3 linked regions of the Coturnix japonica genome follow. The protein of the gene in region 3 interacts with the protein of the main gene of each other region in a biochemical or structural test. Links are inferred from orthologs where the notes say so. Each region holds a gene or a part of one and is shown on either strand. Other genes may lie near its edges.

What was found.
Region 1: the proteins of SNTB2 (region 3) and DGKZ form a complex in vitro, tested with the Homo sapiens proteins (2 studies listed by BioGRID and IntAct, with this or other methods). The link is inferred for Coturnix japonica from reciprocal best matches to the Homo sapiens genes SNTB2 and DGKZ.
Region 2: the proteins of SNTB2 (region 3) and PTPRN form a complex in vitro, tested with the Homo sapiens proteins (2 studies listed by BioGRID and IntAct). The link is inferred for Coturnix japonica from reciprocal best matches to the Homo sapiens genes SNTB2 and PTPRN.

Annotation. Positions count from the first base shown.
Region 1 is NC_029520.1:21,137,159-21,146,481, reverse strand, and holds part of DGKZ (diacylglycerol kinase zeta), read left to right. Parts: 5' UTR 1-140; coding exon 141-877; intron 878-1,091; coding exon 1,092-1,200; intron 1,201-1,399; coding exon 1,400-1,495; intron 1,496-2,313; coding exon 2,314-2,391; intron 2,392-2,716; coding exon 2,717-2,773; intron 2,774-4,123; coding exon 4,124-4,192; intron 4,193-4,653; coding exon 4,654-4,725; intron 4,726-4,993; coding exon 4,994-5,272; intron 5,273-5,638; coding exon 5,639-5,734; intron 5,735-5,983; coding exon 5,984-6,066; intron 6,067-6,173; coding exon 6,174-6,234; intron 6,235-6,631; coding exon 6,632-6,745; intron 6,746-7,135; coding exon 7,136-7,276; intron 7,277-7,634; coding exon 7,635-7,713; intron 7,714-8,004; coding exon 8,005-8,060; intron 8,061-8,962; coding exon 8,963-9,025; intron 9,026-9,274; coding exon 9,275-9,323. UniProt on the Homo sapiens protein: Diacylglycerol kinase that converts diacylglycerol/DAG into phosphatidic acid/phosphatidate/PA and regulates the respective levels of these two bioactive lipids.
Region 2 is NC_029522.1:24,536,156-24,546,031, forward strand, and holds the start of PTPRN (receptor-type tyrosine-protein phosphatase-like N), read right to left. Parts: upstream 5,558-9,876; 5' UTR 5,501-5,557; coding exon 5,410-5,500; intron 3,941-5,409; coding exon 3,890-3,940; intron 3,780-3,889; coding exon 3,666-3,779; intron 3,475-3,665; coding exon 3,369-3,474; intron 3,292-3,368; coding exon 3,093-3,291; coding exon of another isoform or gene 3,081-3,092; intron 3,001-3,080; coding exon 2,688-3,000; intron 2,572-2,687; coding exon 2,455-2,571; intron 2,367-2,454; coding exon 2,299-2,366; intron 2,211-2,298; coding exon 1,936-2,210; intron 1,851-1,935; coding exon 1,764-1,850; intron 1,692-1,763; coding exon 1,612-1,691; intron 1,381-1,611; coding exon 1,316-1,380; intron 1-1,315. Other genes in the region: DNPEP (aspartyl aminopeptidase), read right to left, coding at 5,884-5,934, 6,210-6,377, 6,729-6,830, 7,173-7,212, 7,334-7,494, 7,752-7,832, 8,136-8,213, 8,446-8,553 and 3 more. UniProt on the Homo sapiens protein: Plays a role in vesicle-mediated secretory processes. Required for normal accumulation of secretory vesicles in hippocampus, pituitary and pancreatic islets.
Region 3 is NC_029526.1:16,869,370-16,879,400, forward strand, and holds SNTB2 (beta-2-syntrophin), read left to right. Parts: upstream 1-4,121; 5' UTR 4,122-4,142; coding exon 4,143-4,749; intron 4,750-6,588; exon of another isoform or gene 6,589-6,594; intron 6,595-7,094; coding exon 7,095-7,305; intron 7,306-7,425; coding exon 7,426-7,627; intron 7,628-7,732; coding exon 7,733-7,875; intron 7,876-7,955; coding exon 7,956-8,152; intron 8,153-8,473; coding exon 8,474-8,655; intron 8,656-8,738; coding exon 8,739-8,831; 3' UTR 8,832-9,514; downstream 9,515-10,031. Other genes in the region: UTP4 (U3 small nucleolar RNA-associated protein 4 homolog), read left to right, coding at 24-215, 312-396, 505-594, 827-1,038, 1,129-1,300, 1,382-1,473, 1,760-1,856, 2,208-2,272 and 7 more. UniProt on the Homo sapiens protein: Adapter protein that binds to and probably organizes the subcellular localization of a variety of membrane proteins. May link various receptors to the actin cytoskeleton and the dystrophin glycoprotein complex.

The sequences.
Region 1 (9,323 bases), on a different chromosome or scaffold from region 3:
ACACCATAGCACCCAGCTCTCAGCTCAGCTGTTCTGCCTGCTTTGCAGACGTGGGGCCATCGCCAGCCCCACAGATCTGTGGGCAGCCTATTTAACTCCTGCTTTCTGTGTCAACAGCCAGCGCCCCACCGCCAGGCACAATGGAAACGTTTTTTAAGAGGCACTTTGGGAAGAAGGGGCTGCCAGGCCCACGTCGTGCCAGTGTGCTGGCAGTGCCCACGGGCAAGGCCCGCCGCCGCTCCCAGGCTGGGCTGCCCTCCGCTTCACTGGCCCAGCGCCGTCGTGGCTCGGGGGCCCCGCTGCCAGCCCTGTCCTGTTTGCCCCTGCCCCGCCGCCGTGGTCCCCGCCGTCGCTCCAGCACCACACCGCCGTGCCTCAGCCCCCGCTTTGCCGTGCAGCAGCGCGGGGGCTGCCCGCCAGCCATCAGTGCCACACTGCTGGGGCCCTCCGTGCTGCTGGCCGGCCTCCTCCCCACCGGGCAGGAGGGTGCCGGGGATGCCTCCAGCTCCTGGTCTGCAGAGGATGGCGATGGCAGGTTGGATCGGGGCAGGTGGTGGGCCGAGGAGAGCTGGCTGAGCGTATTGCCACGGCTGCGGCCGCTGCAGGTCAGGCTGCTGACACGGGGCCCTCGCTGCCTGCGCCGCACATCCTCCCACTGCCTGCCCACTGACGTTGGCTGCAGCCGGGCTCCCCATGGCCTGCCGGGCCGCTACCGTCGCCTCAGCCAGCGCCGCCGCTCCAGCAATGTCCTCTGGCCTGGACTGCTGGCCACCACTCACACGCAGTGGCTGGCCCAGCAGTGCACAGGGGCTGCCCTCCCCGAGTGCTTGGGACCAGAATCAGCCTGCTGCCCCGACGGCTGGAGCCCCAGGCTGCTGTATGTATGGCGGTGCGCAGGAGGCAATGCTTTGGGAAGGGGGGATGTGGTGGGCAGGGAGGGATGGGCAGGGCTATGTGTACCAGGGAAGGCTTCTTCAGGCTCCACAACATTCTGGGGAAGCACCCCGGGGCTTTTACCTGACAGCCCGGTGGGCTTTGACACGCCATTCTTCCTCTCCTGATCTAACAGCTGGCCTTCCCATGTTTTCCAGGAAAGCTATTGCCAAGTCCAGCCTCCAGCACATGGTAGCCCAGCCAAACCCTGCACTAGCGCTGAGGAACGAGTCAGAGAGGCAGATACGCAGCACTGTGGACTGGAGCGTAAGTGGTGGTGTGTGTTGCTGGGCGTTGTGTGGGACAGGCTCCTGGCCAGGATGCAGCGGGCTTCCAAAGTGACTTCGGCTTTGACACTTCTATGGCCTTCACTGTGCCACCATAACTTGTCCCTGGCACAAAGCAGTTTGGGACAGGGTGATCATTTGAGGATGCTCAGAGGAGCACGTTGTCTTGTGTCTTTCAGGAGACTGCAGTCTATGGGGAGCACATCTGGTTTGAGACCAATGTCTCTGGGGATTTCTGCTATGTCGGGGAGCAGAACTGCATGGCCAAGCTGCTGGTAAGTCGCCTGGGGTCAGCCGCATCCCCTGCGTGCTCCTCAGCTGCGTGCTGTGCTGCCACCCAGCGGAGAGACCCAGAAGGCCCTGGTGCTGGGAGAACTGGGGGGCTGGCAAGACGTGTTCCTCCGTCTCTGTGTGCTGCAGCGCTGCATGCCCAGTGTCTGCCAGTGCTGCCATTCAGTTTGCAGCAGGTGCCCAGTGCAGGGCTGCATGCAGCTGCAGGTCACTGCAGGGAGAGGTTGTTGGGATCACACATGCTTAGCGGAAGAATCTGAATTCAGCTTCTCTGGAAAAAACTTACAACAGAGGGGAAGAATGAGTGGAGATCCAGGTCTGCTGTCTCCTGTCCCTGCATGCTGTACTGGAGCCCCAACAGGCCTTGCAGCAGCATAGCTGCACTTCTCTCTCCCTGCTTGCAGACTCAATCCTGCTCATGGTGCTGGATGTGCAGCACTGATGCTACCGTGTGCCTGCCCCCTAGCCTCATAGTGCCTCTGGATGAGCCAAAGCTCTGGGCCAGACCACGAACATGCTTCCCAAACAATGTCCTATGTTGTTCTCTGGCAGTGTCAGAAGAGCCAAGGACTGCTTTGTCAGTGGGAGAGCACTTCCCTGTTGTGCTGCAGACTCAGGAGCATCTGCTCTAGGCACATACTTAGATCCTGTAACTGGCGAGGTGTCTAGATTGTATGAAACTCCTGTACTTGATTTTTACATCCTGAAATGTATGAAGGAAGTGTGAGAAGTGGTTGAGTTTCTGGCCTCCTTACCCTGCTGTTCACATGCATGTTTTTCCTCCCATTTTCTCATCCTCCAGCAAAAACCTCTCTCCAGGCGTAAGTGTGCAGCATGCAAGATCATAGTGCATACACCCTGCATAGAACAGCTGGAGAAAGTGAGTAAAACCTGTTAAGCCCTCTCTGTGGCTTGCAAAGCTCTGACAGTCTGATACTGGCCATTCATCTCTCTGGGGTAGCATAGGAGGGTTGGAAACTGAAATGTGTTGCTGGAAGGAGGGGTCCTATGAGGAGACAGTACCAAAAGGAGCGCTAATTACTCAACTGGGACCCCTGGACCCATTTTGTGTGGCGACAGAGGTGGTGGGTTTTGCAGTCAAGCACTGAACATTGCCAGAGGTTCTGCTATAGTAAAATAAACTCCAGTAGGTTTCCTCTTGGTGGTGATTTTACTGATTCCTATCATATGTATTCAATCCACAGATAAATTTCCGCTGCAAACCTTCCTTCAGGGAGTCAGGATCTCGGAACGTACGGGAGGTGAGACATGAGCCTTGGATGCTGCCTATGGCTGAGCTGTTGCCTTTACAGTTTGGTTGCAAAGGGATCAACTGCTGCCAGCGTGCTGCCTGTCAAAGTGCTGGCATTGCTCTGCCTTCTGGCTCCAGAGGGGAGGTGCAGTAAAGAATACTTCCTTGCCAAGCAGCAGTACAGTCTGAGTGTAAGAAGAGAGGAGACTGCAAGCAAAAGACAAAGCATCTGCTGCTTTGCATGTTATCTAGCTCCTGTATCTGCATGGGAGGAACATGCAAACAGGTTTTCCTGAGAGGGGCAAAGGACCTTTCCTTTGCTGATGTCCAAGTCAATAGAGGAGGCTGTGGCAAGCAGCAGTTCCCCAAGTTTCCCATGGATTGGCAGGGGGCAGTGCAGGCTCATTTCTTGCTTTATTGCTCAGCTTTGCCCTGGATGCTACGGGTGCTCCATACAGCGATGGAAGGTGCCCATGGTGGTGCTGTTAGACCTGTTTTGTCTGCGCTGTAATGTAGTGGGTGCAAGCTGAGACCTGGGACCTCTCTGCTGAGCTGCACTGGCGAAGCACCTGCCAGCCTTTGTAGCTCATCCTCCAGCCTCTTTCCAATACTCCTCAGTTTACCTAGGGGCCTCCCATTAACATAGAAAAGCATTCTTCCAGAATTTTGGCTGCCTGGGTCAGTCCCCCTACAATACTCAAAGACTACACTGTAAGGTATCCGTTCTTCTACCATCAGTGAGGCTGTGGGCAGGGAGAAGGTACCCATGAGCAATTCTGTTCCTCTCCTTACAGCAGGTCAGCAGGATTTTATTCGGGGAGAAGGCATGGGGGCTTTGGGGCTACTTCTTTCCTTGAAAAATACTGTTGCTAGGAGCAGGCAGTTGACTTGGCTGCAGGCACTCCCATCATCTTGCTGTGTGCAGAAACTGTGTCTCACTGGGGATTTTCACTTTGCACTGGCATCTTTTCTACCCTTCACTTCATGTCATCTGGTCAGAGATATTAAGAGATAAAGATGTGATTTATGGCCAGAGTAACGTTATAGTCTACTGCTTACCCACTCTGTTGTTCGCTTTCTGTGATTCTATCTTCAATTTCTGATGCTTCCTTTCTGATTTGGTTCTTTGTTTTATCTTGTTTTGATTTAATTTCCTCTTTTGTGAGCACCACAATTTGGTCTTGTGCCCCTAAGTTCTTTGGCTTTGCCTTCTTAGAGGTTAGGTGCTGGTGCAGATGGGCAGCAGGCTTACTGCAAGAGCAGAGGTTCTGGCTGGCCTGTGTCTGTTTCTCTTGCCTGTTCCTGTGTCTTTGTATGCATTGGGACTTTCACTTTTTTTTTCTTTATATTTTCCCTTTAGCCCATAGTTGTCCGGCATCACTGGGTGCATCGGAGGCGACAGGAAGGGAAATGCCGGCAGTGTGGCAAGGTGAGAGGCTTCTTGGTGTGTTTTTCCTCAGCCTGAAGGGGAGCTAAGATCAAACAAGGGGCAATAGCAGGACTGGGAAGTAAAAGAATTCCTGCCTAACATAACGCTATTCCTGCTAGGTAGGAGCAGCCTATAGCTAAACCAAGACTCATGGCCTGTTTCACACAGTGAAGCACTACATAAGTGCTACTCGTACAAAGTTGTTCTCCCCCTGGGCCCCATCAGTCCTAGAGGGGACTCACCATTCCTCCCGACTCACTATTCCTAGGCAATATAGATGCTCCTGCAAAGAGCACAGCAACCTCCCTGGTGCTGTAGTGTGGTGGTTGGGGTTATCTGACAGGGATCTAGAGGGCTGCAGCTGCAGGCATGTTCTCTTTGTTTATGTATCTTGGAAAGCCCTTCTGGACGGTGAAAAGCTGTAAGGGAATTCCCTAAGCCTCTTATCCTTCTCTCTGCAGGGTTTCCAGCAGAAGTTTGCCTTCCACAGTAAGGAGATTGTAGCCATCAGCTGTTCTTGGTGCAAGCAAGCGGTGAGCAAAGCCCCATTGAATATCTGCTCTAATGACCTCTGCTTTTTGCTGGGAACCCCCAGGCTTATCCTCTGCAGCCTGCCACTACAGCTACTCTTACCAACATAGCTGGGAGCTGCTATGGGAAGCTTTCTTAGTGCCTCCTAGGAGAAGCCTTTCCATTACAAAACTCCTGCATCATTTCCTGCAGCTCTCCTTTCACTGGCACAGGGCAGCTGGAAGGAGAAATGGAGTAGGCTGAGTTTTCTCTGTCTCTCTGCTTCTCCAGTATCACAGCAAAGTGTCCTGTTTCATGCTGCAACACATCGAAGAGCCCTGCTCACTAGGGGCTCATGCTGCTGTCGTCGTTCCTCCCACCTGGATTTTGCGGGTCCGACGGCCCCAGGTAAGGCATATCAGTTCATGTGTTTTTGCATGGCTCCTGTTTACCCAGCAGTTCCTCTATAGTGTTTGGGTTTCGTTTTTTTTTTTTCAGAATCCAATGAAATCCAGTAAGAAAAAGAAGAGGACATCATTCAAGAGAAAATTGAGCAAAAAGGGTGCTGAGGTAAGAGATAAGAGGGGCTGGGGGTGACCTTGTGTTGGAAAGGTAGAGGTGCTGGACAGTGAGGAGCAGAACTGGGAAATAAGGGCTCTTTTCAGGGTCTGCACTGAGGTATAAGGTAGAGGAAAAGGGGTCTGGGACAAAGAGTGTTTTGGGAGTGTCTGAAGATCTCAGAGGGTGTCACAGAGATGAGAAAGGCTGGGAGGTGAGTTATGTTTGCTGGCAAGGCATATCTTAGCTATTAGGTTTATGGAGTGGTGAGGATATTCTCTTCCTTCCACTCCTAACCTATGTGATGTTAGGGCTCAGCTGGAGGTAGGAGTTTGCATTTCACTAAGTCTGTTAATGGACCTGCGGTGTTTCTTGCAGGAAGGGAGGTGGAAACCTTTTGTCATCAAACCCATGCCAGCTCCTCTCATGAAGCCGTTGCTGGTGTTTGTGAACCCCAAGAGTGGTGGGAATCAGGTATGGCCTTGCCCTTCATCTTCCTGAGAAGGCAGCTCTTTGCCATTGGCTACTGAGAGCTCAGAACAGTTTTGGTAATGTGTCAGCTGCAAAAGGGAAAAGAAACCTTTGCTGTCTGTTTGCTTCCAGTGCTGCCCTCTTAACCCAGACTTTGCCTGAGTATCCCAGAACACCTCTGTATTGACTTGTCACCAGGCTTTCTTCCCACTGTTCACTGCTTGTTACCTGAAATCTTTCTTATCCCCCTAGGGAGCCAAGATCATCCAGTCCTTCATGTGGTATCTCAACCCACGGCAAGTTTTCGACCTCAGCCAGGGCGGTCCCAAGGAGGCGTGAGTACTGTTTGCTGTATTTCAGTTTACTCCTGCAGTAACACCTTTTCCTGGCTGCAGTCTCAGTGTCTGTGCCCTCCCCTCCTCACTTTTCTTGCTTTCCACAGGCTGGAGTTGTACCGCAAGGTCCACAACCTACGGATCCTGGCATGTGGGGGAGATGGCACGGTGAGTCCCCCAGCCTCTTCACACCCACACTACCCTTTGCAATACCTTTTTGGCAGCCCTTCTCACTGTAGTTCAGAACAAGGCAAAAACATACACATTGTGTCTGTGATACAGCTGGTAGCACTGGCTGCTGTAGATCCCCTCATGCACAGGTCCCAGGTGGTCTAGCTGTGTGGAGTGTCTGCATTTGTGGCCCATTCAGGGGGACAGTGTCCCCGTTGGGGCTGCTTGTATCTCCTGCTGCACCCATATGAAGTATTAAAGAATGTGAATAGTCTCTGTAGTAGCAAGGGAATCCTGTCTCTGCCTCTTTGGCTATGGCTAGTGCTCCACATCACCTTCACCTGCTTCTTGTTCTCTGAAATAACCAACTATTCCTCTTCACTCTCTTTCACAGGTGGGCTGGATACTCTCCATTCTAGACCAGCTGCGCCTCAACCCACCTCCTCCTGTGGCCATCCTGCCGTTGGGGACAGGCAATGACTTGGCCAGGACTCTGAACTGGGGTGGGGTAAGTGACAGGCAGAAGAGCCAACCATGGCCAGGGCTGGAGCTGGACAGAGTACTTCGTCTGGTGCATCTGCACCAACTTTTCCTAAATGCAGACCAAAAAATAATAAGTGCCTTTTGGACATTACTGTTCTTCTGACATTCAAATTATTCTGAATTAGATTATAATATATTAGAACATTAATAAAGGCAATAATTTTTTTCAAACGTTTGGGAGATTTCTAGAATGAAGATGCATTGTTTTTAAATGTAAAGTCCCGTTTGGATGTTGTGCATTCAAGTAGAAACTCTTTTTCACATACTTTCCTCTGAGATGTTTTCCACAGTCCACTGTCTCTGAGACACCCCTGGGAGGCAGATAGAAAACTCACCGGGTTCTCTTCTTCACTAGGGTTACACAGATGAGCCTCTGTCCAAGATCTTGTCACATGTGGAAGATGGGAACATTGTGCAGCTTGATCGCTGGAACCTCCATGTGGAAGCAAATCCTGAAGCAAACCCTGAGGAAAAGGATGAGGCAGCTGCTGACAAGGTGAAACATCTCCTCTCTGCCTTTGTTCCCTGTTCCACAGGAGTGTCTGCTACTCTTATGCAGGGCAGTGGGTGGGCTGGGTGCTGCCATAAGCCCATGCAACTCCTGTGCCTGGACACTGCCTGTCCTGCCTTGAGGCCTGTCCAATGCCATGAGGCCACTGAGGACAGAACAGCAGAAAAGAGCTGGCCCACCACCTCAGACTGGTCACCTCTATGATGTCCTGGAGGGACGGCTAGTTCCCACTCACCCTCGTGAGCACAGTGCATGACTGCCTTGTCTTTGCAGTGGCCACACACTGGCAGCCTCATTCTGCCAGCATGAGGATTTCCAACCTTGTTCCTCTCTTCCATTTCAGCTTCCCTTGGATGTCTTTAATAACTACTTTAGCCTTGGTTTTGACGCGCGGGTGACGCTGGAATTTCATGAATCCAGAGGTACGTGGCATCAGGGTGCAGCAGGGCTGCAGTGTGTCTGCAGTCAGGGACACCTCTGAGACACATCATAAATGCTCCTCAGAAAAGTAGACAAGAGAACTGATACCAGAACAGAGGTGAAATCAGAGGGATGAGAGGAATTGTTGAGGGAAAGAGGGATGTGTGCAATGGCAGTGAGCTGGGAACTGTCCTGGCCAAGGCTGGCTGGAGAGCGATGTTTGGGGAGAGCAAGCGAGGAAAATATTTACATGTTCAGGCCAATGACTTGGATATTTTTTCTCCTTTCCTTAGAGGCCAATCCAGAGAAGTTCAACAGTCGGTTTCGGAATAAAATGTTCTATGCTGGGGTGAGTGCATGAGGATATCTAGGCATGCCCATGTGGATTCAGCTGGAACATAGGCATGGCCCCAGCTCCTGTCCATTACCTCATTTCACTCCTCTGAATTACTGTGGCTTTTGTATACACCTAAGCTGAGCCCTGTCCCTGAAGCTGGAGAGGTGCTGGAGAAGGTTTGCAGCACTGGGAGCTGCAGCTCTGCCTGGCTGCAGACACTGCTGGTGCTGCAGCTTCCTCTCTGGCCTGTGGTACAGTTGCTCCCTTGATCTCCTGCCACTATTGTTCTCAGGAAGGCTGGCCCTCCCGCAGGGAAGGGGGAAGCCATTCTATAGAGTCCTCAGGCTACTTTGGTCTTTTATTTTTTTAAACCTTGAGCCATTTGCAGCTCCCTGGCTAATTATGCCTTCCAGAGCTTTGCATCTTATTGTCTTAACTATTTGTCTGTCCCCTCACCCACAGTATACCTTCCTACCCGAGTGGTGGGGTGACTGGTATTTTATCAGTACTGAAGGCCAAGTGCTGCTCTGCACCATCTCACATCTCCCACCTATCTCCCCTATCCTGTTATCTCTAAATAGTCATATCAGTGTTATGCTTGAAACTGAAATTGTCTCCCGTAACCCAAGTGTCTCAGTAGAGAAAACCCACCTTCCCTGAAACAGGGACTGAGCTGGCAAGGAATGCTTGGGTGTGTTACTGAAGCTGTGAGGTGTCCCAAGGTTTTTGGTAGGCAAACTGGCAAGAGGAATGCATCAGGTTGTTTTGGGAGGGTGAGAGAAGAGGGCTTCTGCCAGTCAACGGGGAGAGGGTTTACTCTTCTCAGCAGCTGGGGTTTGAAGGTGGGTGGCAGGCTTCCTGGATACCCACTTCAGTGAGTGTCTGGGCACTAACTCTGTCTCTTGCCTTGACAGACGGCTTTCTCCGACTTCCTCACAGGGAGCTCCAAAGATTTAGCGAAGCACGTCAAGTTGGTTGTGAGTGTGCAGCAGTGCTCTGGGCCAGGGAGGGGGGCAAACTGTGTAGGGAATGGGGAGCAGCTGCTCTAAGCACAGTGAGTGTCTTAGGGCTGGGGGAGAGGGTGCGTTCCTTGGGACATCACCTTCCCTTGTCTTGGAGGATGGTCACTTTGAGGAGCAGAGGGGGGGGCTATTTCACCCTGGATAGCTAGGGTGGGCCAGACTCCTTCCTTATGGCAACCTAAGTGCCCCTGTGTTTGCCTCCAGTGTGATGGCACAGACCTGACTCCCAAAATCCAGGACCTGAAGCCCCAGT
Region 2 (9,876 bases), on a different chromosome or scaffold from region 3:
GCACTTGTACCTATACTTAGCACAGCTCACAGCTCTGCCCCTTGGGGTGCAGGAGGTGCACAGCTTGGACAAGCTCAAGCAGCAGCCACCTGTTGCTCCCAGTACTAGGGACTGCCTCCCAGCCCTGCTAGACCGCAGGGCAGGTGGGGGCCCTCAGAGCCTGGGCTCAGTGAGCCCCTGCCTGACCCAACCCAAGAGCTTGAACCCCAGGCCCTCCTTGGCCTTTCAGCCCCTATGCTAGACCAGGAGGGTGCTGAGCCCTCGCTGAATGAGACCAAGACCCCCAAGGCCGAGCCCCCCAAGGTCCTTCCTGAGATCCAAGGGTGGAGAGGATGCTCGGGCAGCCCCACCACCAAATCCTCTGCACCCAATGAGATGCCAAAGCCCTGCATTACCTCACTGCCTCGGCTTCCCATTGGCCACGGGCCTGATGAGGTTACCGAGGGGACGCTGCGTCACTGTTATCATCATCATCATCATCGCCTACGAAGCCTGGGGATGCCCCTGCTGTCTGCACCTATTGCTGGGGCAGTGCCAGGCCTAGCGCTTGCTGTCCCCTGCCCTGGGGGTGTTCAGCACAAGGACCTCATCCCTCAGTGCAAACAACTCCCTTTGGGGGGCCCTGCTCATTAGGGAAGCACTGCCAGAGCTGCAGACCCCATCCCTCCTGAATCCTTGTCACATCTAAAGGCACTGCCGTCATGGCACTGTGCATGGGGCTGATGGAGATCAGTTGCCTCGGCAGCCTTCCTCCCAAGGGGTCTCCAGGGCAGGAGGGTGGGAATAGGGACCCTGGTCCAGGGGTTCGCTGTGCCCTTCCTCAGCTGCAAACACAGGCTCTGTCCCTATCCCTATCCCCCATGGGATGGCTCCTGTGGCCCCAGGGGAGTGAGGCTCTCTCCCAGCAGATGGCTGCTGCTCCATCCCTGCCTCCAGCTGCCGTGTTGTTCCCTGCAGGGACGATGGCATTTTCCCTGCCTAGTCCCCAGGGTGCTCAGCACAGGGCTGGCGTGCCCAGGGAATAAATAAAGACTGGAGGGAAGCGAGGCTGGGGATGAGCCAAGTCCTGGATGGAGGGGGAACGTCCTCCCAAAATGCCTTCAGACCCCATGGGTTTGTGTTTTACTAAGAGCTAAGTGCCCCAAACCCACAAGCAGCATCATGCTGTGGAGTGTGAACAGAATGCTCCCAACATAAAGCCCCCATCAGAGCCTCATGTGGGGCCATCAGTGGCCCCAGCACCATCTGTAGCCCCCGCAGCTCCCAGTTCCCTGCAGCCCCATCCCAGCCTTAAGCCCCCATGCTCTGGTCCTACCTCTCCCACTCCCGTCTGCACAATCTTCAGGCCCAGCTCAGCCTCCAGCTCTGCCTTCATTTGGCCTGTGGATGGGGACAGACAGTCAGTGGGATGCTTCCCCTTGGCCAAGGAAACTCCAGGAGTCTGAGAACACCCCAACAGCTGCCCACCATGCCCCAGGTCCCCAGCTCAGCCAACAGCACTAGGGCGTATGGTAGGAGCCCTCTCTTCCTGAGACCCACACCCCCCTTTCAGCCCCTGGAGAAGAGGGGAAACAGGTGTGTAGGAGAAGGGATCCCCAACCCAGCACTCACCAGCCCGGCTGGCCACATCTGCCAGCGAGAGGTTCTGGGCATTGTGCCGCACACGGAAGGTGAGCGCAGGCCCCACGACACTGTGGGGGACACAGGGTGAGAGCAGGGCACAGAGCCCATCCCACCCCCAGGCAGCACTGTGTTGCTCTCACCTGATGTTGATGAAGCTGGTGGTAGAAAGGTGCACACGCTTGGCCAGGAGCTCCAGCAGTCGCACACCAGCAGCCAGCCCCAGCGGCCTGCAGGGAACAAGGCAGGGTGAGGGGGGCACGTGGCTCCAGTGCTGGGGATGGGGTCTGCACAGTGCCCCGGCCCCACTCTCACTTCTGGTCTGTGATGATGTAGCCATACTCATCGGGTGGCCGCGTGCCCCGCTGCGCCCCACCGCCGTCCTTCGCCTCTGTGTAGCTCTTCTTCTCCACTGCCATCATCTCATCCCCTCCATGCCCCCTCTGTGGCTGGGCCTGGGGGGCTGGCAAGGTGGCTGCCTGGCCCCCCAGCCCCTGTGCTGGGGCACTGCTGGCTGTGACCCTGGGAGGTGGCACCGCGGAGGAGGGAGGCACTGGCTCCTCTCCATGCTGCATGTCCCCCTCTGACACCTATAGAGGGGAGACAGGGAGGAGCTGGGACCCTCAGGAAGTCACCTTGGGAGGCTACACCCTCTTCCCCCCCACACACACAGCCCACCTGTGGCCCAGCAGCTCCCTGCTGAACACTGAGCCGCTTTGCTGTGGGTGCTTCAGGGCTGGCAGCACCTGGGAAAGAGAAGGATGGGGATCCCAAAGGAGGGCAAGCACCCCGCACCCTCTATCCAAGCACTGTGGGACCCTGCATCCTGCTCACCGGAGCTCTGCAGAAGCTGCAGAAGGGCAGAGACACTGCTGAGCTGCTGGGGACTGAGCTCGGGCAGTCCCAGCCCATAGCTAGCCAGCAGGGAGGCCAGTCTCTTCAGGGAGGCATCTGCAAGGGGATGCGGCATTTGGTGAGAGCTCTGCACCCAAGTGGTGCCGTGGGTTGGGGGTTTGGGCAATGGGGGGCAAATGGGACAGAGAGCTCCAGGCCCAAGGGATGTGTACCTGTCTGTGCAGGGGATGGCCAGGCAGCCATGGGTGCTGCCTGATCCCGCTGCCCCACATCCTTGTAGTCACCTGGGAGCCGTGCACTGTGCAGAGTCCTGGTGCTGGCTGGGTCCATGCGAACAGCTTTCTCCCTGGGCAGTGCAAGCAGGCCCAGATCCTGGAAGAGGTGCCCACCTTCTGCCCCTGGCTGCCCACTGTAGGAGGGCATGGGGCCAGCCCCATACAGCCCACGGACCAGCAGTGAAGCGGCATCGGGGCCCTGCCTGGCCGAGCCACCTGGGAGCTGGTGCGTGGTGTCCTGGTAGCCAAACTGCAAGCAAACCACAGCCTTGGGTCAGCACCCACTGCACACCCCAGCACAGGGAGAAGGGGTTGCGAGAGGATCCTCACCCTGCTGTGTACCTTGTGGTAGGAGTAGGGGTGCAGCAGGGCCTCCTCGTAACCCAGCTGGGGCGGCGGGGGCAGCAGCAGGTGCTCCAGGTAGCGCTGAGCCAGGCCCGAGGGCAGCAGTGGTGGGGGCTGCCCCAGGTGCTGGGCTGCAGGCAGGCCAGGGGCCAAGGGCTGTGGGGTGCGCCGGGGGGAGCTGCGCAGAGGCAGGGACCTTGGGACAAGCAGTGAGGGATGGCACGTGGGCTCAGCTCCCAGCCCTGCTGTGCCTCCCACCCCACCCTGCCCTACCTGTCCCTTGGCGAGGGTTCCAGCGAGGGCGGTGGGCGGAGGCGGGGGATGCGCTCCATCTCCTGTGAGATTACGTACTGTGTGATGCCGTCCTGCCACGAAAGCCCTGCGGTGGAAGGGTGCCATGAGATGGGGAGCTACCTTGAGCTTCAGGTCATCCCTGTCCCTCCCAGAGCCAGCTTAGTCCCTCCTCGCCTCAGCCCGGTTCCCAACCAGCGGTACCCCAAATATCCCTGGTCTCCATGGTGTCTCTGTGCAATGCTACCCAACCCATGGCCATGCCTCCCCAGCCCTCACCTTGTGCCATGAGGTGCCACAGGACATCCTGTAGGCGCTGCAGCACAGGGGAGGTGACCTGAAAGTGCGGTCTGTCCTGCACTGAGCCCACCTGGCACTGCCCGAACAGCCCATCTGCAAGAGAGAGGGGCGGTGGGGAAATGGGACTGGGTGGTAAAGCCCCACCTGCCTCCTGCCCCACACAAGGATAGAGCAGGACCAGGGACTCTTCTGTAGGCACTCACCCTGCACACACACCTCCTGCGGGGAGCACAGCCTCCGGTCAAACAGACAGCCTGGGGCAGACAGACAGACAGACCCAGCACAGTCAGCAAGGGGAGCTCAGTGTTGTTTGCTCATCACTAGCAGGGCAGCCACCTGCTTGGGGCCCCAGCTCCACAGGGAAGTGGCAGTGGAGGAGCCCAGGGTAGGGCCTCAGCACAGCCTGTTCCTGGCTCTGGGAAGGGGGGGAGCCTGGAGCTTTGTGGGGTGCTGGCAGCGGGGAAGGGGCAGCGAGCTGCGGGATCGTTTCTCACCCTCCTACATGTGGCACTACGAGAGGAGGGCACGGCCCTGCACCTTGCGGTATGGGGGGACCTGCTCTCCCAGCACGGGGTGCCCCAAGGCACGGTGTGATGAGGCCCCCACCCCTTTTTGGGGGGCTGCATCCCCCTTCCTCCCCCCGCATCTCGGTCCAAGACCGTCAGCAGCGAGACGGCAGCAAGCGATGACTCAGCCCCGGATGGCGAGGAAGGAACGAGAAAACAACCGGGGGGAGGGGAGGGAGGGGCCCGCCGAGCCCGCGCCGGGGCAAGTGGGGAGGGGGTCCCCAAAAGGCCGGTACCCGCTGGGTGCCCAGCGCCTGCTCCCCGGGTGGGAGCGGAACGAGGCGCGGGGCGCAGGGAAGCGCGGGCGGCACCGGGGGGCTCCGGGCCGGGGGCGCCGGGACCGGGCGGCGGACCGGGCGCTGTCCGTGGTGCTGAAACGACGGAGCCGCGTTCCGCCGGGCAGCCCCGCTCCGCGCCGGGGAGGAACCCCGGGCCGGGCAGGGCTCGGCCGCAGCCGCTCCCTGGGATGGCAGAACCGCGCGGGGCCGCCCCGGGGAGCGGGGAGCGATCTGCCCATACTCAGCCGGGTGGCTGCGAGGGTCCGTTGCCTGGGAGCGGATGGACGGAGCGGCAACTGCCCACCGGCAGTGAGTCAGCGGCCGCCGAGCCCTTGCGGGGGGGCTCCAGCCCTGCTGCCGGTAAGGGCCCCCGGTACCCCCAGAGCTCCGGGAAAGGAGACGCGGGCCGAGCTGAAGCGCTCAGACAGCGTACCAGCCCGCTCGGGGGTCCCGGGCAGCGCCTACCGGAGGAGGGCGGCTAAAGGGCACCGGGGTCCTGCAGGAAGCCACCGCGCGGGGACGCTGCCCCGCTCCCCGTTCTCGTTGCCATATCCCGGAGCCGGGCCCCGCAGCGCCCGCCAGGCTGGGTGTCCGGAGGAGCATCGCCCCGCTCCCGTTCCGTCCTGCCGGACGCCGCAAGTCCGCAGTCAGGGAGCGCCCTGGGGATCCCGTTCACCGGCCCAGCAGCCCGGGCAGAGGCGCTCCCGGTGCGGGTGATGCACGGCGCCGCTCTGCCGTTACCGGGGCCGGACCCGCCGCGTCGTGACGGCACCGCGGCTCCCGTCCCCCGCCGTCCGGCATCCCTTTGCCCCACCCGATAGCCTCATGAACGCCGGCCGGGCGGTGCCGCCGCCCACTCCCGGAGCCCCCCGCTCTCACCGTGCGCGGCGGTGGCGCCTCCGACCCTTATCAGCCCGCGGCCGGCCACGAGGAGGAGGCAGAGGAGCGCCCGGAGCAGCCGCCGCCCCATGCTCCGCTCACGGCCGCACCATGGCGCACACACCGGCCGCGCCCCCGCCGCCGCCGCCGCCAACCCGCGCCCCGCCGCCAGCACCGCCCACCGCCACCGCCCCTCCAATAGCGCCCACCCCGCCGCACCACGCCCCCCGCGATGATCGCCCCCCGTGTTAGGCCGGCACAGCACAGCGGGGCTGGAACGGAGCTCCCCGGCTGTGATGGTGGGAGCACTGAGCCTATAGCAGAGGCACAAGGCCATCCTTCATTACAACACTCACAGCAGCTCCCGGAGCCGCAGCTGTTCCTCCCCATCCCCAGCTGGACACACAACCACTCCCAGTTGAGACAGAGATGCTTTAATCAGGATTGAACCCCATAACCTTCCTCTCATCGCGCTCAGTCGACCACCAGGCTGCTGCTGACCACCGGCAGGAGCTCAAAGAAGCCCTGAAGGGAGAAAGGCCATCAGGGCACGGGGAGCAGCTCCCTGCTGGGTGATGTGTAGCAAGCAGCTGCACGGAGCAGGGCTGCATCACCATAGAAACCCAGCAGTGACTCAAGGCAAGTTACCATAGGAACCATTTGGGGATGGCAGGCAGCAGGGAAGGCTGGAACGGATGGCGGAGAGGCAAGGAGCACCTCTGGTACTGCTGCACTGCCCCGGTGCAGTGGGGAGCCCTCCCAATAGGGCTGAAGGGGAGCAGAGGGGATTTGGGGCTTACCTTGAAGAGAGTGATGCTCTGCAGCACGCCCGAGGTGCAGCACATCTCTCGGATGGAGTGCATGGCCAACTGCGGGCAGCCGATGTCCAGCACGCGCAGCCCCAGGCGGGAGGCCAGAATGGGGCCGATGGTGGTGCCACATGGGGTGTCATTGCGCACCATGAACTCCTGCATAGTGGAGACATGGGGTGGGCAGCTGCTCCCAGAGCCACACGGCCTCCCAAGTGACTCCCAGAAGGGTTAGTCCTAATGGGAGACACACTGGGATGGGGGAGCTGCACAGTCTGGATGCTAAGATGCTAAAGCCCCCAGAGAGCTTCAGACAGGTCAGGTCAGACCCGCACTCCCTGCTATACCCTGAGCTTGCTCATCAGGTCACCTGGCACAGCAGGGCACTGCAGACACCAGCAGGCATAAGTACAGTAGCAGAGAGTTAAGTTCCTGATACTGGTCCTGCCCTCCAGCACCCGGCTTCAGCAGGAACTGGTGATGGAGCTGTGCTCACCCAGCTGTGCTCACCTGCAGGGGAACACCCACACGGGCCGCGATGTCCCGGATGACTGCCTCAGTGACAGCTGTGGAGGCGTAGCGCTGATTGCTGTTCACTTTGATGACAGGGCCCTGCGAAAGAGAAGATGCAGAGCTATGGCACAGGGACACACTCTATTACTTACATAGTTCTAAGTGCCCAGTGCCCAGGAGAGACCCACAGTCAGAAATGCTGTGCCACCCCCTGGATCCTACAAGTGAACAGCCCCAGCTCTAAGCCAAGGGAGATGTCCACAGATAGGGCTGTGGTTCTATGTAATTAACTCCAGCAATGTGGCACAAGTGCATTGTGTGGCAGGACAAAGGTCTCCTGTGAAACTGCTGCCAAGTTGCACTCTGGGCAGTGTCTGTGTGTTTCACTGCTGAACAGACAGATGGCAGCAGGTCTGGCACAAAGCAGAAGGCTGCGCTCACCTTGTGGAAGGCTGGCCGATGATTTTCCTCATGCTTGTCCCTGCAAAAGAGAAGGAGTTTCATGCTGCAATCCCCATTACAAGAACTGTCCTGCCACTACGCCAGCAGGAGTGCAAAAGATGCGTCCCCACGTGCAACGTGGCAGGGTTCAGAGTACTCACACGTAGTTAGGGTGCACCGCATGGGCCATGTCAGCACTGATCATGTAGGACTTGGCCACAGCCTCCTCAAAGGCTGTCAGGTTTTGTGGTGATGCTGAGATTCGACGCAGCACCAGCTCTGTCAGAAGGGACTCGGCACCCTGCGCACTCTCTGACCCTACCTGCCAGGAAGACCATCAGCACAACCCACCCAGCAACACCCCAGCCACCTCCAGCGCTCCATGTCAGCTGAGGGATAGCAAGCTCCCCACACCCAGCAAAGAGGCTTCCAACTCACTCCCTGCCAGGCCCAGGGTGGGGTGAGCAAACCCTATGGTGCTCCATGGGTGGCTGGGATGTAAGTCCTAATCATTGGTGGAAGGAGAACAGAACACAGAGCCCCTGTGTGTGCCAGCTGCCCCACGGCTATGCCCCTCACCTCCTCGTTGTCATAGAGTGCAATGAGGCGCACGTTGGGCTCCTGGGAGAGGGAGGGAGCTGTGCACGAGTCAATCAGTGCCTGGAGAGACAGAGGAGGAGAAGGAGCACTAGCGTAAGTGCCACCCCATCCTAGGAAGCTCAGCACTGAACTGGCTGGAACATCCCCAGGAAAGTCTAAGGCACCAAGGAAAGGAGCTGTGGGTACATTGGAGATGCTAGGAATGCCACACACCCAGCACAAGGGGGCAGCCACTGTCCAACCCCAGGCCCTTTGACGAGCAAGGATCCCTGCAACAGGACCCAGCTAACAGACCAGCAAAGCTAAGTCAAGACACAAGAGGGCCATGACAAAGCCCCAAGGCTCCTTCCTTCCTTCTCTCACCTGCAGAGCACAGTAGCAGCTGTGCAAGTTGTCCAGACGTGGGGAGAAGATGAACTCATCAAAGGCACCACCAAGAGTCTGCAGTCAAAGAACAAGGAGTAGGGCACAGGTTTGGGGACAACAAAGAGCAGGTGTGATGTGTCTCCAGCCCAGTCCCCACCTCTGCCCCCTAGAAGGCATTTCCTTTCAGTCGGTTCAGCTCCCAGCCCTGCATGCCCCAGGCAGAGGAAGCGTGCTGTGCATGGGAGCTGGGCAGTGCCAGCCTGCAGGCATGTTGCATACAGGTAGAAGGAGGCTCTGTTGTACTCACCGCTGGCTGCGTATCCGCCAGGCATAATTCCAGCTCCACAATCTGCTCTGGTTTCACTCCCAGCTGGGAGCAGAGCAGGGAAAGCAGGACAGGGCTGTGTCTCTCTGTCTGGGAAAACAGCAGAGCTGTGGGCAGTGCAAAGTGATGGATGGCAGAGAAACTTTCCCATTCCTTCCTCACACTGCAGTCCTAGGCTTCCTGTCTACTCACATACTCTGCATCTGAGCACTCAACCCACAAAGGGCAGCAGTGGTGCTCACAGGGCATAGTGAGGGGCTCTCTCCCATTGTTCAACCTCCCCTCCCTCCTCTGAGAGAAAAGGGGGGGCCATACATGACAGCTTTATGGGGGATTTCCACTTTTCTTTAGGATGAATGCAGGCTAGGGTGGGAACAGACAACAGTGGAGCACATGTGCTGTGTAAGTGGTTCTGAGTGGAGCTGAGAGCAAGTAGCTGTGAATGGGAAGGACGAGAACTTGCTGGCAGGGAGCTCTGAGGACTAGAGATCAAAAGATGGCATGTGAGAGACCTTAGTGAGCCTCCCCCTTGTCCTTAGGAACCCACTCACCTGGGCTGCAGCAACGCCAGCTGTGCGCTCTGTGGATGGTTCTTTTTCCAGCTCCTCCTGCACAGCAGTAGCCAGTATGGGAACCCTGTGGGGAGACAGTGTCAGCAGCTGCCAGGCCATTGCTTACCCCTTGGGGACTGGCTGAATGGAGCAAGGACACTCTAAACTTAAAGCACAGACCTACTGTGCCACCTTAGGACACCCCAGTGCTAATCCCCAAGCCCTTCACTATAAGTGAAGCCATTGTTGTCCACCCCACTGCAATGAGGGATAGAACAGGGGCTGGGCACCGCTGCAGCTGTGAGGATCGAGCCAGGCCTTACAGGTGGTGCTCGGTGTTGGGTCCAAAGTTCTCATTGATGCTGCGCTGCAGATGGATGGCCAGATGGGGGATGCGGAGAATGGGCCGTTCCACACACACCAGCCGCTGCTCCAGTCGCCCTGTGTTTGGCTCCTGAAATACCAGCAGGACCATTAAGCTGCCTCACTGGGCCAGGTCTGCAGGACTCAGAGGTGGCAGGAGCAGCAGCGTGTTTTACCCCACAGCCCCCAGCCGGGCTCACCTTGACGATCACCCTTCCTGCCACAGTGAGGTCACGGTCAAACCATGTGTTCCAGATGCCTCCTCCATAGGTCTCCACACCAACCTGCACCGTGCCCACCTGCCCTCGCTTGGAGCGTCGCTTCACCTGGATGGATGCAGAGATGACACCAGGGATTGGGACCGGGAAGAGCATGCCCAGAGCCCACCAGCGTGCCTTGAAGTGCTTGGTAGGGAGGGGAACGCAAAAGTGGAGCAATGCGGGGAGTCAGCACCCTGCAGGGGGGGACAGGGAGATGTCAGAGCAATAAGGCATCGGGA
Region 3 (10,031 bases):
GCTGATGGGCCCTTCTCCCCCAGGCCATCCCCGGGCACCAGGCACGCTCGGTGGAAGCGCTGTGCTGGGCAGCGGGGGAGCGGCTCTTTGGGGCTGGTCTGAGCGGGGACATCACTGAGTATGACCTGGAGCGGCTGCGCCCGGCCCGCGCTGTCGATGGCTTCGGGGGACCCATCTGGAGCATGGCTGCCAATGGTGATGGCACGCGGCTGGCGGTGAGAGCAGGGATGAGGACGGCAGCAGGAATGGGGGCTGCGATGGCAGAGGAGCTGCCGCCCCCAGGAGCTGATCCTTACCACCCCATTCCCCAGGTTGGCTGTGAGGATGGCTCGGTGAAGCTCTTCCAGGTGGTACCTGGCGGTGTTCAGTTTGAGAAGAACCTGGACCAACAGAAAGGTGAGTGTGGGGGGCTTTAGGGTCATCCCCTTGTCTGCTCCTTGTGCCATCCTGGCCACCAAGAGGCTGCTGTGCCTCGGCACACACCTGGAGCTTCCATCTCCACAGGCCGTGTGCTGTGTCTCTCCTGGCACCCCTCGGGGACCCACCTGGCAGCTGGCTCCATCGACTTCATCCGTGTGCTTGATGTCCACTCAGGTAATGAACCGCCCCACAAAGGGGCATCGCTCCTTGGAGCAGCCCCTGGGGTGTCCCCTGTGCCGGGGCGCTGTCAGCAGCCACAGCTCTGTGCTTTGGGACTCCTGCTTGGCACCAACACAGCTCCCAGCCTGGGAGTCCTGCGGTGCACAGGGCACAGGGAAAGGATGAAGTGAGGAGCCTGAGGTCATCCCACTCGCTCTCCATCTTGAACAACCCTTCCCTACCTCAGGCCGAACCGCCCAGAGGATCATGGTGAACCATCACGTGCCGAAGTCCAAGAAGCGCGAGTGCGTGGTGTGGAGCATCGCCTTCCTGGCCAGTGGCACCGTCGTCAGCTCGGACTCATTTGGGAGGGTGCAGTTCTGGGACTGGGAGCGAGGGACGCTGCAGGACTCCCACACTGTCAACACCTCAGCTGCCCTCTCGCTGGCTGTGTCGGAGGTGAGGTCACCCTGGGCCAGGACGGCGGTGCCAGCACCCAGGTGGCATCCAGCACTGTGCCCTGGTCGCCACAGCCCTCTCTTTCTCCAGAAAGAGGACAGCATCATGGTGGGCACCTCGGCGGGGTCCACCTACCAGATCCAGCTGCTGCCGGTGAAGGCAGGCAGCCAGGAGAAGCGCTGGGTGAGGACGAAGCCGTTCCAACATCACACCCACGACGTGCGAGCTGTGGTGCACACCCCGACAGCTCTCATCTCTGGAGGTGCGGGCTGTGAGGGGGAGCTCAGCGGGTGGTGTCCCCCCCCTCCAATAGCTGCTTGTCTGAGCTCTGCTTGGTTTCCAGGCCTGGACGCCCAGCTGGTGATCCGCCCGCTCATGGAGAAGGTGCAGAAGAAGAGCTACGATGCAGTGCTGCGGAAGTTCACCCTTCCCCACGTGAGTATGGCTCTAAGCAGGGTCCTGTGGCGGCTCCTGGGGGCACAAGGTGAGCTCTGAGGGAGCAGCCAGGCCCTGCCTGCCCCACTGGCCCTGGCATGCCTGCGGGTTCCTGTAATGCAGTGAAATGGAGAGTGGAACTGAGTTGATGAGCCTGTCCTGCTGGTCCTGCTGCGGCTCCCTCTCCTGGTTCTCATCCCACAGAACCTAAGTTGTTTCTCACCAGCAGCCCAGGTTGTTTCTCCCAGGCTGTGGTCCATGACAACGTGCCCATTTCTGCCCACAGCGACGCCTCGTCTCCTGTGCCAGGAAAGCCCGGCTCCTCCTCTTCCAGTTCTCCCAGCACCTGGAGCTCTGGAGACTTGGCTCTACTAATAAAACTGGTACGTCTGCGGGTGGCTGTTGGGTACAGACCTCTGTATTTAACCCCAGGGCAGTGTCTGGAGGACTACAGGGTGCAGTGTGCCAGAGCAGCAGAGGAGTGGTGCAGCCCTACTCTGCTTATGGTTGTGTTACCCAGTGCACGGTGTGTTACACAGTGCACAGCCATGGTGCTACTGGCAATGTACTCTTCCTGCTGAGCTGGATGGTGCCCTGGGGAGCTCAGCCTCAAGATGGCTGGGGAAGGGTCTGGATCCATCCTGGTGTCTGGTACCACTCTCCCTGGGTTTCCTGTCTTTCTTACTGGGGTCTGCATGGTTTCTGTTGTTGCTGATGCTTAGTTGTCATCCCAGGAAAGGATGGAGAGGTCCTTCCCGTGAGCCGGATGCCAGAGCACCTCCTGCAGCTCAAGAGCAAGGTAAGGCTGAACTGGGGCTGGCACTTGTGCTTGGCACCTCTGCTTCCTCTGATGGCCAAACTGCAGGTGCCAGGAGGTTCTGCAGACCCCATTCAGCACCTCTACATCCCCAGGGTCCCGAGCACATCTACTGCAGCTGCGTCTCACCCTGCGGCAGCTGGATTGCCTACAGCACTGCCTCTCGCTTCCACCTCTACCACGTGCAGCATGAGGGCGACAGCGTCAGCGTCAAGAAGGTGGAGGCTGGGGAGGCTCACAGGGAGCTGGGGGCTGTTAGTGGCACAGTGTGTGGGTCAGCAGCAGCGTGACCGCCGGTGTTGCCTTCTCCCCCTGCAAGGTCCCTGGTGTGCCCAAGCTGCTGCTCCCAGCCTACCAGCTGCAGTGTGCTTCCGACTCAGGAAGGCTCTTCATCGCCTCCGACAGAGGCTCTGTCCATGTGCTGCAGCTGCTGGAACCGGGGGGCTGCAAACACCTGCACACGCTGCGCCCGCCTGCAGGTGGGGAGCCCTGGGGCCCCTGTGGGCACATGGCTGAGGCTGCTGCCCTCGGTCTGGGACACTTTGGAGTGGTTGAAGAGTTTCTTGTGTCTGTGTAGCATTTGTGTGTGGTGTTGTTCAGGGACCCGGGAAGCTGTCTACCTGCTGGCATCGAGCGCTGATGGGAACTGGCTGGCAGCGGTCAGCGGGGACTGGGAGGTGCACATCTACAGCCTGAAACACTTCAAGGTACAGGCAGGGCTCTGTGTGGGGCCCCCCGTGGTGTCCCATGGGCACTGGGGGAGGACCTGGTGGGTGTCAGAGGGCACGTGGGGCAGCGTTGTCCTTCTGCCTTTCAGCACCACTGCACAGTGCCCACCTACAGCTGCGCAGTGACAGCCCTCGCCATCCACCCAACCACCAACAACCTTTTTATCTCCTATTCGGACCAGCAGGTGGGAGCTGTGCCCTCAGCAGCCCTGTGCTGCTTGGGACCGGCTGTGTGCTGCCATTGGGCTGATGATGGGGACCCATCTTTTTTTCCTCCGCAGCTTTTTGAGTTCAGCATCCCCGAGAAGCAATACACGGCCTGGAGCCGCGCGGTGCAGAACAGCGGGCTGCACAGGCTGTGGCTGGAGAGGGACTCCCCCATCATCCACATCGCCTTCAACCCCAAGAACGCGTCGCAGGTCCTGCTGCACGACGTCTACATGCTGTGTGTCCTCGATAAATCCCTGGTGAGCCGAGAAGGGCCCCACTGGAGCGTGCTCTGCAGGGGCTGCTCGTGTGGGCACAAAGGGAAGGGCAGGGGGTGTGCAGCACTGCAGGGGGTGTGCGGGGCTTAGTGCAGAGCTGCAGCACTGACAGCAGCACTGACAGCAGCACTGACAGCAGCTGTGCCCGCAGCCCCTGCCCGACAACAAGACCATGCTGTCCAACCAGAGCACCCTGAAGCAGCTCTCAGAGCCCGCCCGGCGCCGGCAGCTCCACGCCTTCAAGATCTGCAAGAAGTTCCAGGTGGGCAGCTGTGCCAATGTGTGCAGCTCATCCTTGGGGGCGCCCTGAGCACCGCCCCGGGCCGGGCTCCCCGTGTTCCCGGTGCTCACCCCGTTGGTTGTGCTCACCCCGTTGGTTGTGCTCACCCAGTTGTGCTCACACTGTTGTGCTCACCCGGTTGTGTTCACCCGTTGTTCCCGCAGCCGCTGCTGTTCGCGGACCTCCTGGACGAGCGCTGCCTGGTGACGGTGGAGCGTCCCGCCGTGGACATTTGCCCGGAGCTTCCCCCGCCGGTGCAGCAGCAGAAGTTCGGCACTTAGCCCCGCTCCATCAATAAACGCGCTGTTCTCGTCCTTACCGTCAGCGCTCAGCTCCGCCCCGCGTCCCCCGCCCGCGCCATGGAGTCCCGCCACCGCCTCCCCCTCCGTCCAATCGGAACGCGGGAAGCCGCCCCCGCCCCGCCCCTCGCGCCGCGCGCAGCCAATGGCGTCCCGCCATGCGGGCGGGGGGCGTGTCCTGGCGGTGGGGCCCGTGTCGGGGCGGCGCGGCGCGGCGGTGTCGGCATGGCCGTGTGGACGCGCGCGTGCAAGGCGGGGCTGCTGGAGCTGCTGCTGCGGGAGCGCTGGGTGCGGGTGGCGGCCGAGCTGAGCGGGGACGCGCTGAGTCTCACGGCCGAGCCCGGGGAACCCGGCCCGGGGCTCAACGGCGTCGCCAACGGCGGCGGAGAGTGGGGCGGCGCGGAGGCGGCCGTGCCCGGCTGCGTGCGGAGGGTGCGGGTGGTGAAGGCGGAGGCGGGCGGGCTCGGCATCAGCATCAAGGGCGGCCGCGAGAACCGCATGCCCGTGCTCATCTCCCGCATCTTCCCGGGGCTGGCGGCGGAGCGGAGCGGCGCGCTGAGGCTGGGCGATGCCATCCTGGCCGTCAACGGCACCGACCTGCGGGATGCCACCCACGACCAGGCGGCGGAGGCGCTGAAACGCGCCGGGAGGGAGGTGATCCTGGAAGGTACCGGCCCCGCGTCCCACCCCCCCAACCCCCGTCCCGCTCCCCGCCCCGGGCTGCCCTCAACCCGGCCGTGTCGGAGCCCGCTCCCTGTTGCCGTGCTCCCGGGGCTGGCAGCGGTGCCCCGGGCCCGGCGCTGCTCCCCGCGGTGCCCGCCCTGATGCTCCGCACGGGACTCGGTGCCCGCCGAGCTCCGGCTCCTGCCCGACCTGTTCCCGGCAACCTGGGGCGGGACCTGCCGGTGCGGCGCTGCCGGTGCCACCGGTGTCAGCGCGCTGCCACCCCCGCGTCCCGTCCTGATGTCCACCGGGGCCGCGTGCCGGTGCGAGGGCGGGTGCGGATTTGTGTGGCTCAGCTGCCCCCGCTGGGTCCGGGGCACCGGGGGACGAGGAGGAGATGAGCCGAGTTTGGGGCTGGGAAGAGCGCGCAGAGGCAGACAGCATCGCCCCGTGGATGTGGGTTGGGTCCCCGGCCAGCCAGGAGTGCTGACGCTGAGCCCTGTCCCTGCTCTCCAGCCCTGGGCTTCACTTGCAGGCAGCTGTGCTGGCCGCCATCAGCACAGCGGAGCAGAGCCCTGCCCTGTCCTGGGTGGGAGCTGGGAGCTGAGCTCTGGGCCCACAGGGACCTCGGTGCTGGGCAGGGAGTTTGGAAAGAGGAAGGAGGTCTGTGAGAGGAAACCCACACGTATGGGTGGGGAAACCACTCCGGTGCTTTTGGGAGGGGGCTGGTAATGTTGGGCTGCGAATGGGGGTCTGGGCTCTGCTGAGAGCCCTGTGGGTGAGCCCAGGGTGCAGCGGCCTTCCTGCAGAGAGCTGTGAGGGTGCAGCAGTGCTGGGTTTCCTTTGTGGTGAGCGTGTAGGCGTGCTGTGCCATGACAGCCGTGCTGGGACACAGCTCAGCTGGTGAAGCTGCATGTGCCGCTGCCCCCTGTGCTGCACCACACCGGTACGGCAGCTCCATGCCCTGCCTGGAGCACTGCCCCCAGCAGCATCTCCCAGCTGTTCTGCCTCTGCTGCTGCCTGTGGTTCGGTGCTGGGATACGTTTCCTGCAGTGGCCACGGTTGTACAGCCCAGCAGTGTCTGTACTGTCTTGGCCACAGCAAGGGCAGGAAAACCACCAGGTTGACTGCACCAGCACCACCCACCCAAGCATTTGGAACGTTTTGGTTGCACATCTGGTGCTGTATGGGTTCCCCAAGGACTGCAGGGTGCCCTGTGCAAGCCATGGGAGGTGGGCATGAAGGATTCATCCAGCAGCTCCCGCTTCGGGCTCAGAATCCTGCCCAGGGAGTTTCAGGGATGTGGTTGCCTGTGCTGCCGGTTGCCAGCAGCACGGCTCAGAGCACAAAGGGCTCAGCGCTCACTCCTGGGCAGGGAGCAGCAGCCCCAGCGCTCTGCTCTCCATCCCCAGCCCCAGCTGCAGGCTGCCAACATCTGGCTGCCAGCTGTGAGCCGCCTCAGGGGCTGCCGCCGGCGGAGCCCCCGTCCACAACCATCCATCCCAGGCGCTGCCCTGCCCGTGGGGATTAGAGGTGCGTGGGGAAGGAGTAATCCGGGGATAAGCGCGGCGGGAGCTAATATTATCTCCTGGTGCCCGCAGCAAGGGCAGCGCATCCCGTCCAGCTGTGTGCCGGCTCAGCAGCACCGGGCGCCCCGCGGAGCTCCCACCACGGCCTCTCACCGTCTCCTGCGTGCGGGGAGCTGCGCTTCACAGCTGTTTCACAGCAGATTACCGCTTACTCGCTGCTTTTTTTCGCTTTAATTCCCTGCTGCCCTGCGGCCGTTCCCTCCCTGCTGAGGGGGCTCCGCTCTCTGGCTGGGCCGCCCGCTGCTCGGCGTCACCCCCCGCTCTGTGCTCTGGCACGCAGCGCTCCCAGCATCTGGAACGCATTGTGTTGGCTGTCCCTGAACGTGACAGCGGGGAGCGGCGCGGTGACGGGACGGCACTCGGCGAGTGAAGGATTTTGGTTTCCTGGCGCCTACCATGTGTTTGGGGAGGGATGGTCCGCGGGGACCCGGAGTGATGCGTCCTTCCTTCCTCCCAGCCCGGAGAGGAGCGCGGGGCCGGGACGTGCTGGCTGCAGGCACCATCCCGGGGCCGTGATCGCCTGCGGCGCTGGAAACTTGGCCGCAGCGTGCGGCTGGGTGGGCAGGATGGGCAGGATGGGCTGCAGGCTGACCTCCCGCCCGCACCATTGTGCCGCACCGCCGAGCCCTTCCGATCCCCGCATCCCGATGGCAGCGGGGTGGGCCCCGTGGGCCTTTGGTTCCCGGCAGGGGTCGGCACTGGTGTGACCCCGCGTGGCCCCTCTTCCCCCCACCCTAACAGCGACCCCCTGTGTCCGCAGTGAAGTTCATGCGGGAGGTGACGCCCTACATGAAGAAGCCGTCGCTGGTGTCGGACCTGCCCTGGGAAGGGGCTGCCCCGCAGTCACCCAGCCTGAGCGGCAGCGAGGACTCGGGATCGCCCCAGCACCACGGCGCCCGTGACCGCAAGGTCATCCCGCTGAAGATGTGCTTTGCTGCAAGGAACCTCAGCATGCCCGACCTGGAGAACCGGTGAGCAGGCGGCGTTCGGGAAGCGCTTGGCACGTGTCTCTGTGCCCCCATCCCGGCCCCATTGCTGGCAGCACGCCTGCAGCCGGGCTGGCCCCGTCCCAGCGCCCCGTATCCCCACAGGCTGATCGAGCTGCACTCGCCAGACAGCAGGAACACGCTGATCCTGCGCTGCAAGGACACGGCCACCGCACACTCCTGGTTCACAGCACTGCATGCCAACATCACGGCGCTGCTGCCGCAGGTGCTGGCGGAGCTCAACGCCGCACTGGGTGGCACAGCCGGGGGCCGGGAGGTGAAGCACGTCGCGTGGCTGGCAGAGCAGGTACGGGTCTGTGCTCTGTGTATTGGGGGATGCCATCCCTGGGTGGCACCGTGATGCTGGGGAGGTGGCGGCTGGAGCTGCCCTGTCACTGAGCTCCTCATCCAGGCACGGCTGGATGGTGGGCGGCAGCAGTGGCGGCCGGTGCTGATGGCGGTGACGGAGAAGGATCTGCTGCTGTACGATGCCATGCCCTGGACGCGCGATGCGTGGGCCTCGCCGTGCCACAGCTACCCGCTGGTGGCCACCAGGTACCGGGATGGGGACTCCTGCAGGAGCTGACCCCTCACATGGGATGGATGCAGCACCGATGTCCCCCTCCCGTCCCCAGGTTGGTGCATTCAGGCTCAGGCCGCCGCTCGCCCTCGCTGGGCTCCGAGCTGACCTTCGCCACACGGACGGGCTCACGGCAGGGCATTGAGATGCACGTCTTCCGTGTGGAGACTCACCGGGACCTGTCCTGCTGGACGCGGGTGCTGGTGCAGGGCTGCCATGCTGCTGCTGAGCTCATCAAGGAGGTGTCTGTGGGTGAGTGCACAGCAGCACCGGGGCTCTGCCCGTGGGACAGGGAGTCCCCAGCGGTGATGGTGGTGTGCTGCATGATGGTGGCGTGCTGCATGATGGTGGTGTGCTGCATGATGGTGGTGTGCTGCATGATGGTGGTGTGCTGTATGATGGTGGTGTGCTGCATGATGGTGGTGTGCTGTATGATGGTGGCGTGCTGCATGATGGTGGTGTGCTGCATGATGGCGTCTGTGCCTCCTCCAATGCTTGGGGAAGTGTTGGGGTGTCTGGTCTGACTGCAGCCAGGTGCTGGGGGCAGAACCAAAGCCGTTCCTGTTCCTGCAGGCTGCACGCTGGGCGGCCAGGAGGTGAAGCTCTGCATTCACTACGAGGGCGGCTTCACCATCTGCCGCGATGAGGCGGGCGGCAGCGTCCTGTACCGCTACCCCTATGAAAAGCTGAAGTTGTCAGCGGACGACGGCATCAGGACCCTCTATCTGGACTTTGGAGGCCCAGAGGGGGAACTGGTGAGGAGGGACCCCTATCCCGGCGTGCCGTAGGACTCGGGCTGCCCCCACGCTGTGACAACGTTCTCCCTTTCCCTCCACAGGCGCTGGACCTGCACTCCTGCCCCAAGCCCATCGTCTTCGTGCTGCACACCTTCCTCTCGGCCAAAGTCACCCGCATGGGGCTGCTGGTGTAGGTGACGGCCCTGCCCCCCCCAGCTGCCTCCACAACACAAAGCAGCCGGGGAAACATGGAGCCCCCACCGCTGCCTGCCTCTCCGGTGCCTTGGGGTGGGGGCTCCTCTTCTGTGGCTCAGGGGGAGCTCAGCGTTATCCCCCGTCCCCAAAAGCCATCTCTGATCTCACCACCTGTGCCTTGCGGCGGGGCCGCTGCTCCCCCCAGGGGCTTCACTGCGTGTTCCTCCCCCAGGTGGGACCATGTTGGGCATCATTTGTCCCCCCTGGGAGACTTGTCTTAAAAATGTGGGCACTGGGGGCACTCTGGGACCTGGCGCTGTGGTGCCGGTATGGGCAGGGGGCTCAGTCCCTGCCGTGCTGCGATCACAGGGCGGGTGCTCCCCAAGCTCTCAGAGTCTGCAAACGAGCGCTGTTCCCTCCTGGGCTGGGGGCACAGCGGGACCCCTCTGGGCCTCGTGGCTTTGGGGAGGGATACGTAGATCGATGCACTTTTGCTTTTTGTACTTTACCTCTGCCCCTGGCAGGGGATGGTGCTGCTGGGGGATCCGCTGCGCCCCGGCCCAACTCCTCTGCAAACGTTTCTGCTTCCCACGGGCTGTGCCGGGAGGGCCTGGGCTGCAGAGTCCCCACCCAGCACAGCCCTTCTATTTTTGTACTCTTTGTAAATCGCTATTTATACAGACTGGTCATGTGTGGGGTTTGTGATCGGCACTGCGGGGAGCGGCCGTGGGGGGCTGTGATCCATGGGCTGTGATTGATCTATGGGCTGTGATTGATCCATGGGCTGTTATTGATCCATGGGCTGTGATTGATCTATGGGCTGTGATTGATCCATGGGCTGTGATTGATCCATGGGCTGTGGGCCCTGTGGGTGGTGGGTGCTGTGTGTATGTGGGTTGTTTTTTTGCTGTGGGTGCTGTCTGTGCTGCACATATACACATACATACACACACATACACACACACACACACATGCTGCACACACACTCACTGTTCATGCTGTCTTTGCATAGATGCCTGCAGGAATACACACACGTGTGCTGTTTATATGCTGTTTTGTGGTTGCACTGTGTATGGTCCGCAGTGTGTGTACATGGACACACCTGTATACATGGATCCATCTATATACATACGTACGTGTGCACACACGTTGCACACGCAGTTCGGGCTGTGCACAGACAGCAGCTCTGCATTGCATAC